Linked DNA regions of Drosophila melanogaster. The gene in region 2 interacts genetically with the main gene of each other region. Each region holds a gene or a part of one and is shown on either strand. Other genes may lie near its edges.

What was found.
Region 1: of Octbeta2R (region 2) and rsh, changing one enhances a phenotype caused by changing the other (phenotypic enhancement), as found in Drosophila melanogaster (one study listed by BioGRID).

What each region holds. Positions count from the first base shown.
Region 1 is NC_004354.4:13,027,103-13,034,101, reverse strand, and holds the start of rsh (radish), read right to left. Parts: upstream 3,348-6,999; 5' UTR 3,018-3,347; coding exon 2,947-3,017; intron 2,388-2,946; coding exon 2,282-2,387; intron 1,711-2,281; coding exon 1,186-1,710; intron 860-1,185; coding exon 1-859.
Region 2 is NT_033777.3:12,591,868-12,598,866, forward strand, and holds the start of Octbeta2R (octopamine beta2 receptor), read right to left. Parts: upstream 3,238-6,999; 5' UTR 2,643-3,237; intron 2,132-2,642; exon of another isoform or gene 1,616-2,131; intron 1-1,615. UniProt on the Drosophila melanogaster protein: Autoreceptor for octopamine (OA), which is a neurotransmitter, neurohormone, and neuromodulator in invertebrates. Essential for ovulation and fertilization.

The DNA.
Region 1 (6,999 bases), on a different chromosome or scaffold from region 2:
TCGACTGCCGGCGGAATCCCCTGGCGATCAGTATCTCCTCGGTGGTGGACTGCCTCCGAATGGCCGGCCGCTGGTTCTGCTCGACGGTGGTCTGCGTTTGTGGCCTAGAACAGGGACTTGGATCCCGGGAGGAGCAGCAGCTATTCGAGTCCGGCGATCTCGGCGATCTGGCTGCCGAACTGCTCTGCCTGCGGAGTGTATGCCGCCTTGGACTACCATCCCGCTCGTGGGATCGATCCGGCGATAGATGCGTTCGCGAATCTCGACGACCGCCACGCGACGCGCTATCCGGTGACAGGGAATCCCGTCGAGAGGTGCGCCTCTCGCAATCGTCCGGCGGATCGGGACTGAGTGCGGGCTGGGAGCCACGCCTACTGCCGCCCGGCAGGCAGCCCTCGTCGAAGGCGGTCGCCTGGCGTTGCAGCCGCTGTAGGCGTGGCGCCCGCTCCGGACTGACGCCTGCCTTGGAATCCCGCCGATTGACACGGCCGCACTGCGTCTGCGAATCGCGGCGACCCTTCGGCGCCGTCGGACTCGTTGCCGGTGGCGTCACGGAGCTAGTGATGATCGTTGGCGGCGGCAGGGCTTGGCACGCGGAGTCCACCTGCTGATGGGCCAGGTGGTGAGTGCTCGAATGCGTCGAGATCAGGGGCATGGAGTGGTCCGAACAGGAGCCGGCGGAACTGGTGGACGGGCGCTGCTCCTGCCGAAAGTTTGGGAATTCCGGCGCGGCCAGTGAGTCGCGCTTCTTGGTCATCTGGTATTTGCCGGGTGGCGGTGGCGTGGTCACCCGACCGGCCACATTGCTATCGCGTCGACTGCTGGACAGGTAGCTCTCACCGGATCCGCGCCGGGATGCCTGATGGTTTGGTGGTTCGGTGGTTGGTAGTTGCCAGGATGTGCGGTGGTTTGGTGTGGAATGGTGGGAAAGAGAGAGAGAGAGAGAGAACAGCGCCACGGGTTAGGGGTCAAGGTTGTGGTCAAGGTGGAGCCAAAAGGTGCTGGTAATTACTTAGAACTCAACTGGCAAATGCACTTGCTTGGAAATGTTGCTTCGACTAACTTAATCGGTTATTTATTTATAATAAAAACATATTTAAGTGAATTTGCCAGCAATCTTATATCTTATTGCCTAAGGCAGCCGATTTTGTATCTCTATAGAGTATATATGCGCTAAATACTTACGCTTTTAGAGCACTCGACGACGACGGGCACGGAGACGCTGGGCTGCTCCTCAACTGCCCCGCTTTCGCGCCGATTCCAGTGCCTGACGAACTCGGCGGTATTCGAGTCTCGTCGCGACCTCATGCTCCGGATGCCCGAGTCCGCGGATGATTCGCGTCGCTTGCGTGGCGCCATGTAAGTGGTGCAGCCACCACCACCCGATCCACCGGCACCCGTGCTCGCATCGGTGGTGGTTGAGGTGCGCCACGGCAGACTGCGGGCCAGATCCGCCAGCGTTTCGCGTCGATTCAGCTGCGCCTTGGAGCGGGATGCCTGCTGCAGCTGTTGTTGCTGCTGCTGCGAGTGGTGCTGCTGCTGCTGTTTGGTGCCGCCGCTCCACTCCCGCAGGATGTCCGTCAGCTGGGCCAGCGAGCTGCGCCGCCGGCGCTGCAATCCTGGCGGCGGCGAGGTGCTCGGCGGTGTGGTGATCTGGGCCGCTGAGTCCCGTCGTCCGCCCAACCGCTGCCGTATGGTGGACTCCTCCAGCTGAAAGCGGAACATCGTATTATTCTCAAAACGATCTTCAAGAATTATTCAACGATCTATAGCCATAAGGTTCGGTTACACTGAAAGTGGTAGTTGGGAAGTTCTCTATAGATGGCCACTTTTAAGTTGAAAACTTTTGTTAAATACAAATGTAGATTTAAAACATTAAATTAAATTTATTGAATTTGAGGCTGCAGTGAATTTATTTTAAATTTCAAAAAGAAAATGTTTCAAATTAAAACTAAATGCTGAGATATATTTTACATTTTCGATTACAAATTATTTGTCGATTAACGAAAATGTGTTTAATAAATGTTCAGTTTCATAATTTTCTGTAAGATTTGAATAAATTTTATCTTATATTGTTTTTTTTTTTTTGTAAATAAGCTAAAGTGTTTGTCAATTGAAAGCAGCTCTGATTTAGTTAGCTCAAGCTCTTTTTCAGGCCACAAGCACTTCCTCAGAACCATCAAAAATGGTTCTTTCGCATGAATTGTTTATTCACTTTGGGAAATATTTAAGATATATATATATATGTAACATAATATAATTGCGAATTAGTGCGACCCACCTGCTCCCGCACAAGATCGTCCCAGCCGTTGCCGCCCTGCCACACCAAACCCACTTGGTGCGACATGATGGGCAGGTTGCACACAAAGCAAATGGCTGTCATAGTCCTGAAAATACACAAGACGGCGATTAGTGAATTGTAAAAACCTACTATAAGTTAACTTAATGACAAGCAAAGTGCATGCAGTAAAAAAAAGGAGAAGCGAGGAAAAGAGGGAAAATTGAAGATGGGACAGTGTCATGCGGTGAAGAATGTCTGAATGGCAGATGTTATTTTTGGATCGGCTGCTTGGCTGCAAAGCTTTTCTCGAGAAAAAGAGCTTCGTCCTTAGGATATGAAAGGATACGAAAGCCAAAGGCTCGAAGTTGATTGGAAAGCTTGGAAAAGTTCGAAAAGCTGTTAGTGTGTTAGTTTGGCATGCGGTGAATGTGGTTAAGGATGTGAAAGCTCCAAGGTGAGAGTCCTGGCTTTGGTTTCAGTTTCAGTTTTAGTTTGACGTGCATATAGATAAAAGCGTAGAGAAGAGGAAAGCTTTTTGTTTTTTTTTTTTTTTTTGGTTTTTCGTTATTTAGTTGGTGGAAAAGTGAAAGCGCTTCCGCTGATTTTTGAGGTCAGGTGGCGTTTGTGGTGTTTTAGAGTTAAAGAATTTCCTCTGGATTGCTAACTTTTTGCGTATGACCACGCAGGTGCTGCTGCACGGCTGATCCATGGACCGGTAATGCCGCAGTTTTGACATGGCGCATGTTCTGGTTTCTGTGGCAGCGCCCGCCGATCCTCGAACGTGAGCGGTATCCTTCGGCTCCTGCCGCTCCTGCGGCCCTCCTTTACTCGGCTATTTCCGGCCTTATCCTCCTCCTTGCCTGTATTTAATGTTCGAGTTCTTGCGAATGATTGCGAATTTCTTTCGTGGTTTTCGGCTAGCCGAAAGTGCGGTGATTTTTGGGTGTGTTTTTTTTTATATTCGTGGGTTTTTTTTTCAGTGGGGCTTTTTGGGTTTTTTTTTTTAATTTTTGGAGGGGGTGGTACTGATGGGTTTGCTACACACACAGAGACACAGAGATACACTGGAAAAAATCGAAGAAAATAGTATTTGGTGGTTTAAAACGCATTGGATGGGGGCAATTTTCGGATGGCTGGCAAATCTCAATTTACATAAGGGATTGGGATTTACTAATTGGGTCAAACTACAGGTAACAGTATGGGGTCCTTTACTATAGTAACGTTTTGTAAAATATATATTGATATTTATTGTTTATACCTATGAAAAATATTAAATTAATAAATATAATTATAATATAAATAATTATTCTTTATATTAATAAAACATAATGAAAGTATATATAAAGTGAGGCCATGCCAGATGCTTTAGTTATTGTTTCTTATCAATAGAGTACTTAAATATTTCAATTTCCCTTGTCAATTCAAAGTTGCCTTCTACCTTCCCCTTTTTGTATTCATTCGCATTTATTTATTGTAAAAGTTGCGCTGCAGTATTGCGTATAATTGGTTAAATCCTTCATACGCACCGTTGCCCAAAGAAATCGAGAGGCAACGGACCAAATACTATGTATTCGTACTTATTTTCGCAGAAATACAAGTAAGCTCAAGACACAATGTTCAATTTCCCAGAAGGTTGCCACAATTCAATTTGGTTCTTATTACTTAGAATATAGATGGAAAGTCCTATTTATATGTTAGTAATGCACCAATTATTAAATTTAATGTTAGTACGGCTTGAGAAGATTGGCATTGAGGCAAGAAATATGAAACTTATGGGATTCTTAAGTAAATTGTGTAATAACAAACTTTAAAGGCAAGTTTAGTTTGGCCATCAAAAATGCAGGTGTTTTGCTCAATTTTGTGCTTACTGTACTTGACTTTCGTTTATGTTTGCTCACGAAATGATGTGGTTTCTGGGCAGCAGAAACTGCTGCACTTTAGCCAGATGCCAAATGGAAACAGTCGGACCAGAATTCCAGATGAACTAATGCTCGAAGCTGGTTTCGCAGTCGCAATCAAAATGGAGTATCAAGTTATTTGGCCGCAAGTTTATGGCCATAAACTTAATAACTGCCAGCCGGCAGGACCTACCATCATCCTTCTGTTTCTGTTTCTATGTACTATGTATGTGTGCAAGGACATAGACAACGCACCGGAAGTTGTCGAATGTGTGGCGGGTTCATAAAAGTCCGAGTTCGAGTCGGAGCTCAACTTCTCCCGCCAGTCATTGAAACACTTGGCCAACGACGTAGTTCGAAGTACCTTAGTTTCCCCCAGCATTTTTCGCACAGATCCCTCTGTGTGTGTGTCGGTAGAAATTGTGAAATGCTGAGGGGAAAGCAGTTTTGAGGCCAATGAGGACACACATTTCGATTGAAGCTCTGCAATTTAAGTGATACGATGATGTTTCCTTTTTTGCCGGTATTTCGAAGCACCGACTGTTTGTAATTGAGCGGCCCTAAACTGAAATTCTTTTGCCCTATACAAGTTGGAGTTGTGATCTCTTTGAATATGTAATGTTGCTTGGCGGGATGGTTTTTTTCATAAATTTAAAAATCATATTAAATTTTTTTAGCTGCTTGCGGACTTTAAAGGCATTTAGTTGTGATTTTATCAATTTTATGCTTAATATTAGTAGTAAGTTTCCTTGCCGTTTTAGTAGTGCACTTTGCTGTCTGAATTTTTGGCTTTTGCATTTTTGAAACTTGGGAAAACTTTGGTCCGGGACTTAATCAATTTCAAGTGCACAACAGCAGCTGGCAATCGCTGTCCACCGGGAGTCCAATGGATGAAGCCTCATCATCCATGGGATCTGCAGACACGGTTGGAGGACGCAGGATGGAGAAATGGCACCTGGCAGGACGAAGTGGAGTGGGGCTCAAGTGGGCGACCGGTTGATTGACAGCTGTCAATTTGCGTTGCCTGTGAAGTGTGTGCCACGAACAATTTTCAACTCAATTTTCCCACTTTTCCCTGTGTGTGTCCTTCGGTCCGGCTTGCGGCTAAGCCGGAGCAGTTGTACCTGGACACGGACGCAGATGGAGATGAAGCTTGAGCTGGAGCTGGAAATGGGGATTCCGGCGTGCGAATTGCGGATCTCTCGGGTGGTGATGGTAAAGCGTGCGAAGAGTGGGAAATTGGGAGGCTGAGAGGCTGCATTTGTTTCACCTCCGTTACGTTTCCAATCAGCCCAGTTGCTCAACAACTGGGGCGAAAAAAATAACAGAACACGTCTCAACAACTCAACAGCCAGCCACTTTTGTACTTTTGCTGCAGACAAACACACACACACACACACACTCACCCACAGTACTCTAAACCGAATGCAATTTTCTGCAAACTTAATAAACTTTCGCAGGTGAAAAACTCCTTAAAAAGTTACTCAACACTGCGGGCTAATTAAAAGTTATGCCAAGGTTCCACATTTAATCCACAAAGAAAAATGTTGAGAGTTTATGCTCATCATTTGGCGGTAAGAAATATATTTGTGCACACATTTTAGAAATTGTTGGTGTTTGTTTGAACATAAAAGAGATTTTAAACGTAAATATGTGCAAAGCTGTACACGAGCTTTTGTTTAATTTAATGACAATAGTTATTAATGTGAAATAAATTTGCACAATTTATGTGGACTTATGTGTTATGTACTGACTGCTATTTGTTTCTTCCGCGAGAAAAAAGAAAAACGGCGCAACTACTGCGGGATTTGATGAGCCAAATCCCTTGACTCCATTAATCTGTATTATATTTGGGAACTCATTTATCTACCCACCCGCAAGAATTTCACCCACTTTTTCCCCCATTTCCACTTTGTTCCAACGCTAAATGAAACAATTTAGTTAAATGGTGAACATTTTACGTTTGCCATGGTCTGCGGTTCTATTCAGTTTTCCTTCCCTTCTTACTCTCATTTCTATGAATTTTTTTTTTGTGAACTGTTGTCGTGGCAATAAAATGCAATTCGTAGGAATGAAAATAAAAATAAAAAATAGAAAAAAAAAGGGCGAGTACTTTGGACACCTGGCGGACATTGGCCGTTTTTCTTTTGATTCTCAGTCTTCTAAGTGACTTTTCGTGTCCTGGAATGGGCTAGGATGGTATGGATTTTCGGGTGGTTCCTTGGACTGCTGGCGTCTGCTATTTAGTTAATTTTAGAGCGTCTGTCGTCCAGCCCCCTTGAAATATTACTTGGGTTCTTTGCCAGCAGTTTTCCTTTTGATGTAATTGCGAGGGATTCCTGTTGGTCCTGTCCGGCATCCTAAAACTCATGGTTGGTGAAGGGGAGGGGGGTGCTGCTCCAAGGATGAGGACAGTACGGTGCGGCTATTCATTGATTAACTGCCAGGACTCACTGGAGACACGTGAAAAGTGAAAAGTGGGGAAGCTCTAGCTTGACGGCTCTTGGGGGCATTTTCATTTAACATTTTCATTTTCATTTTCGTTTTCGCCTTCGTTTAAGATTTAGCTTTTTATACTTGGCATTTTTTTTTTCGGCGTTTTTGTTGTTGTCATCTTGGGTTTCGTTTTTGGCATTCAAAGTTGGAATACCTGAAAATGCTTGGTAAATTAGATCAAAGGACCTGAAAGTACGTGTAGGCATTTACGGTCCTAGCCTGTGTACATAAGTGTGTGTGTGTGCAGTAAACACTCTGCAAAGGTAACAATTTGTTTGTTGTCCTACCTAAGAAATGTTGATATTAAAAATAAATGAAATTCAT
Region 2 (6,999 bases):
TTAACTATAATCTAGATCTCATAGGAATATATGACATCCAATAATAAAATATAATATTTCGACATAATCAAGATTTTGCAGTCAGCAGAGGGTAGCTGTTATTCGAACCCTTCAAGCTCGCAGCCTACTCTCTTCGACGTGTAAGTATGTGTGTGTGTGTGTGAATGCTGTGGGCCTTGTCGATAATTTTCTGCCTTTCTACACACTCAATGGCTGCCTTTGACACAGCCAGAACATCTTCAGCGTGGCAGCGCTTTTGAAACCACAAATTACATTGAAAATTCCTGCTTGATTGAAGTTGATTGAGCAAGAAAATGCCGACAACGCCCCAGATTCGCCGTTGGTGTCCAAAGACATAGCACAACATCTCCGCATTTCCCCCGAGGAGTTGCTATTTAAGGTAAAGTTTTAAACACCTGTCGTTGAATATCGCCATATAAACCCACCCCCCACACCACCCATCTGGCCAACGACTCAATATCATTAAGTATGCGCGTTGGGGGGTGGTTATATGTGTGTTTGCTGGAACGGCCTGCGGTTATTTGCCGATTTAACGGGTATTTCCGATACAAGCCGCAAGCCAGCTTCGCCACTCGAAGCTCAAAGTATCATAATTAATGAGCCAGCCCACCTACAAACGCCCGCCCGCCCTCTACCGCAAAAACTAGGCGTGGCCGCTCGCCAAAGTGTAATCTCATTTAAATTGCATTTTCAACGGAGCCGACAGCAAAAATACAATTGCGTTAATTTCTGCATCGGACGTACTTTGGCCCGCCATTTTGCACTTCCTCTTTTGACCATTGAAGTTGAACGCAAATTTGGGCCTAATTTCGCTGTGATGGCAGTTTTGTTAATAGCACGTTATAATGATTTCCAGAAAGCCCTCTTAAATTTGATTTCCCATCAACGCCTATAAAAAGTGCAATCTGATAACCGAACTGTTGATTATAAACTTAGGACGAATGCAAAAATTAATTGAAATCGGCAGGCGTACTTAACACTGATTAGATTTCTATAACAGTGATTGTTTTGTAAGGTCTCCGGGTATTAAGTTATATTAATTATAAAATGTTTTAGAACTATATATATATATACTATATACTTTTGATTTGGAAACCAAAAGGTATATTAGAGCACTCAATTTCCAATAAAACAAGACCAAATTAGACAAATTAAATAATTGTCAGTTCATTCAAAACAAGAATAAGATGATTACTATATGTGTGCTATAATTACGGATCTAATATCACCTTCGATATCGCTAATAACCTACTCCACAATTAATTCAATTGAAATAATAATAACGCCAGACCGACTCAGAAAATTGCTCAAGTCAATCGGCTTAAGTCTTAACTCTCCCTCTGAGCTTCGGACACACATTATCGTCAGCTGAACTGTCGCTTATAGCTAAAGCTTACTGTATTTAATTTATGGATGCTGCAGATTGCTTTACGTATAAGCTGATTGCTAGATTATTGTGCAAACATTGGGTCCGTTTTGTCTGGCATATAACAAATCAATGGCATAAATGCCGGCAGACAGTATACACTCGAAATAAGACAAATACTAGATGCCTTGTTAATTAAAATCAAATATTATTTAGTCTGATACTCACCATTTGCCAAATGGATGTCGCAGATTTCCATAGCCAAAGAGCCATTGAGAGCCTGAAAGCCAAGTCAACAGCCAAACAAAACACACAGAAGTTATTCGAAACGGCTTTGGGGAAGCTGAATTTGCATTTGAAATCTTCCGAGTTTTTGGCTCCGAAGAGTGGAAATGCAAATCGAATAAATAGAAAGTAAATAGAAGGCACTGGCAAGCCAAATCACTCAGTGCACACAGAACGACTGATGGAGAGACAACCTTTAAAGAAATGACTTGCCATCATCCGCCCATTGTCATCATCATCATCGTCGTTGTCGTCATCGTCATCGCCCTCAAAGATTCTGTGGATGCGTTTGTTGTGGCTTTAAGTGTGTGTGACCCCAGGGGCATTGGCAGTGGGTTGGAAAAGTGGGTGGCAATAGTGTTTGCTGAGGAGGATGGGCTGGATTCTGGGAGGTGCAGAAATGCTGACTATGCTGCTCAGCCCGGTCATGTTGCGTGCCGAGCAGCTTAAGTCGTTATGAGATGACAATTTCTATACCGACTGAGCTGGGACTGTGACTGAGCTGCGGCCATATCAACACTTCCGTTTGGGATACACTGGACAAATTTGACATTCCTATTGTCTCTTTAAAAGTCACAGTTAGTTCACAAGAAGTGTGTAGATTGGGTTACACAATATCATTCTTGTAATTTTTATGACTGTATCATGGCACACAATTTATTGAATAATTTCTGTAATTACAATTACCAAAGAAAGCACTAAAATAGAATTAAACTAAGTTACCTTCATTTTAATTTGAGGATAAATTTAATATTATAGTTGTTTCATTTTCAATATGTGACGAATCACTTCCCTATTTTAAGACTACAGATATTAATGTAGAAACGTACCAATAATGTGAAATTTCAATTTATATGCTTCGCTATCACAAATTACAAAAATTACAATTCATAAAAAGAATACCTAAAATTCTGGCATTTAAATAAGCATTTCTATATTTCTTTTCTTTATTTACACTAAGCATTGGAACGCCAAAGATCGGGTTAACCTTCCCGCTGCTAATAGGCCATTGATCACCGCTTATGATATTTGTTTTATGTGTATTTCACTGCCCCCCAGAACATGAGCCCCCACTTCCACCCACCAGCTACTTTGATTGCAGTGCCCGGGGTACTTGGCATTACGGGTTTGTGTGTTATTTTGAGTGTGTGTGTGAGTGTGAGTGTTCGACTGTGGGTCTTGGCTTATAGATGAGTGGCTCTGCCGTCCGTGATTCGCTTTGGCTGTTCTTATTTATGTTATCGCTATCGTAGCGGCGGCGATAGCTTCTGTATGACTATTGCTCCCTCCAGCGTTGGGCCCTCGACTGTTGCATTTGCATTCAGCATTTCGCATTTCGCATTTGCACTGGGCACATAACAAATAACGCTGGTGATTGCGATTAGGGTTTGTGCATATTTCACTGCCTTTCGCTGAGCGTGTTTCTTTTCGAAAATATTTCTCCTTTGGCCATTTGGCATGTAAAACTGAACGGACGTGCGACGGCTGGCATTTTGCATTAGTTTTATACACGTGTATATAAATTTGCGCGACAACATTTTATTAATTGCACCCAATAATCACACAAACGAAACCGAAAAGCTTAAACGACGGCGCAACCAAAAGCGGAAAAACACAAGGGCAATGCGACAAGAGCAGATGCAATAATATTTTCTCGAAATATATAATATACATTTATATTATTTCCGCGAAGGCTGCTCACTTTTTTCTTTAATTTGATTTTCGCACAAGATTCTTTTTTCTTAAATTAACTGAAAAATGCATTTGGCGGCCCAGCGGAAGCGAGCGCACAATGTCACCGAATGGCGACGGCCAACGCTGCGTATACGCAATGGCACGCGCGCGCGACATTTACCGAAATTCATCCGCACCGTTGCCATCAGCAATCAATGCGCTTGTAATCTCCAGCTGTAATCATTTATTCCAGCTGCTTCTGCTGCTGCTGCTTCTTCCTCTACTTTCCCCCCCGTATTCTGTTCTTGGTAGATCCGAAGCAGAAAAAAGGGAAACAGAACCAGTACCAGTACAAGAATCGCAATCGGAATCTGTAGCGCGCCTATTTCCTCTCAGCATGCGACTGCGGCTGCCTTACGAATATTTTCACAAACGGGCCAAATTGGCGAGCGGACTGCGAACGGCGGACTCTGCGAACAGCGACTGCGACTGCGGCTGGCTGACAGACGAATGAACCACCGAATTTCCCTGAGCGCCGCACGAAGCTCGCCAGCTCGTTAACTCAAAGACTGAGAAACTCAAAACTCAGATACTCGGAAGCTCACGGATACACGGAAACACGGACACAATGACACACTTACAGGCTGCGTTCCCAGCTCGGAATGTGCCCCCAAAAACACGACTGCGAATACACACTCGGTCGACGCCGACGCCAACGCCTCTGCTCGGCAGCTGCTGCAGAGCTTCAACAGCGACGTCGGCTGCGCGCATGTTGCACTCAAAGTGGGCCGCCGCTCAGTCGCTCAAGCGCTCGCCCAGTCGCCCGCTCACCCACTCAAAGGCGAATCAAAAGCGAATGGCGACAAACGAGCGCTCGACTGTTAGCCAGCTGTTAACTGCTCGGCAGAGCGGCCTGTAAAAGTGTGTTAATGGGTTACAGCCGTTTACAGAGCTGTTGCTGTCGCAGACGAGGAGATGCTGTAAATGGAACAAAATGGCATTCTATCAACAGAGCTAACTTTCTCAGTCAGAAATAAGTCGAAAGACAAAAAAAAAATACTAGTACCTAATTAATTTAACAGTTCCATATTTATATTGAAGGATTATATAACTATCAACACTGTAAAAAAAAAAAACAGCGCGTAATTAACCCCCTGTATTCATCACTTCAAATCATTCTTTTATTAATAGAGCAGTTTATATACTTGCATATAAAACCTTTTCGTAACATGCACTAAATCGATTTGATAAGGTATATGTGAGTAAGATATGTATGTACATTCGATTTTGGAAAGCTGTTGCGCGGATGTTTTCCCCCGAGTATTGTTCCTGCTCGATGGAAATGTTACGCATACGCCATGCTGTCTGATTGTGCTTGTACTACAAGCGGCTCAATATTGGCGTGACAGCACGGTACTGCTGCCTAAGCCATTAAATGCATGACAAATTTGGCTTGTCAACAAGCGGAAGACGAGGCTAAAGTTTTCCCAACCATAAATTAGCGCTACGCAGGCCGCCCACGAAAAAGTCGCAAAGTAAATTCCAATTAAAATTTCAGCGTAAATTCCGCAAAATGTAAATTATTTGAAATGAAGTCGTCGTCGGTCGGTTGTCGCCGGTTGCTGTATGCTGGATGTTGGTTGTTGATTTGCTATAGCTTGTGGCAGCAGCCGCTTTCGTCGGTGTTTTTGCATCTGCGGTTGCGGCGCCGCCAGTCGACAAACACCCGTTGGTGGAAAAAGGGGACACACACAGCACACATCCCCCACGCAATATCATACCCCATCTCCCAACATCCATTTACCCATCCTGTACGTAATCACCCCTTTTTCAGCGCGTTCAGTTAAATTGTTTGTCCTCGCTTGACGTGCTCCCAGAATCCCGTCATCGAAATCCGAACTTACGGCCCAGGCAACTTGAAATTGCTTTGTGCTGGAATCCTTTAAGTAGACTATAAATACCACCATCCCTTCAACGCAGACCGAGGAAGACGAACGCCTTGCAGCGTTTTTGACATCAAACGTCTTCACCTCTCGGAACCTGCATGCACATCGCACATACATACATATATATAGATTGAATACATACAATATATATCCATCGATATATTGACGGCTGTCAGGAAAGTCTGGCGTTGCCAGCAGATATGCGCGCACACGTGGGACTATTAGACTTCAATAAATTCAATTTACACAAATTTCAAATCCAATGCCCAACCCCCCAACATGTTGGAACGCCCTTGGCAAAAGACGCAACTTGCATCCGCAAACAAATCAAAAGGCAAATATATAAAAACAAGGACCAAATCAACAGGGTCAGTGCGAATGCTAAATGCCCTTGACTTGAACATATATTTTATTTAAGGAAATTTAGTTTACTTTCGTCATAAATACTTGACTTAACTTTATCAAGATTTATATCTTTCGTAATGGGTTTTATTTATTTTACTTTTTGTACTTGCAATTAAATCATAAATCGCATTTGTTTGCACTTATGAAAAGAAAGCTAAAATGCTTTACATTGTATTCTTTTGGATAAAAGCTTTAATGGAAATGTGAAATTTATATCGTAAAGCGTAGATGCCAGTTAATCTTATTAGGGTATTTTTCGAGTAGAAGTCAATCCGTGTGCCAACACATACAATACATACAAGAAAATTTAAATTGGGCACACGTCGTAGGGCAAACATCAAGGGACCGGTCCCAAAAGGCCTTCCTCTGACCTCCGCCCCCAGACCCCATCCACATATTAGGCGTGTTTGCGGCAAAATAACCAAAAAGTATTGGCACAAGCCTTCAGCTGCATCTGTCAAGCATTTTCCGAGGGTCTAGCTACTGGTGGGTGCATGTGGGAAAGGATATGGCTGCACTAAGCGGATTCTGCTGGCGGGAGAAGGGATCCTCCTAAATTGTCATACCATGGAGACCATGGACCGGGGACCACAGCCCACGGCTGCCGATCAAATGCAGCTCAATATGCGGTGTTCGACGCCAAACTGTTTGCGCCAAAATCGAACGCTGCGTGGCATGCGGGCAGCATAGCAAATGACTTTTGATTGACATGTTTGACATTTTGCACGACTGGCAAAAATTGCTGGATCAGGATGGCCCCCTTTCGGCCACGCCCACATTTATTGCATTTTAAATGCGTCAGCATAATTCCCCAGTTTCTTTTTGAAATGAAACTCTGCGGAGGAGGCGATTGGACTGGGTGCACAGCGAAAAAATTGTGAGCATTTTATGCATATATTCGTAAGTTAATGCTTTAAGTCATCTTAAATTTAATTTGCCAACTTTTTAAGTAGCTATCCTGTTGAAATATATATTTGTTATTTCTTGCTGGTAGAAAATTCAAAAGCTTGCAGCTTTTCGGGGGGAAGAACTAACAATCCACACACGGAGCAACTATTCCATGTGCTCGTCTATCCCAAAAGGTTGCGGCTGCTTCAATTGCTCCAAAAAGAAAACAACCTCAAGGAGCCCTCGCCTGCGCATGCTTTCTTTAGCTGGTAAAAAGGAAAACAAAGAATCTGCCCCGTACACATGTGGGCGGCTTGCGGGCGGAGTGGGCGTGGCCGGGGTCGAAAGGAGGGGGCAGGGGCATGGGTTCTTATACACACAAACATTTGCACAGTTCAATGCACAATTGATGGC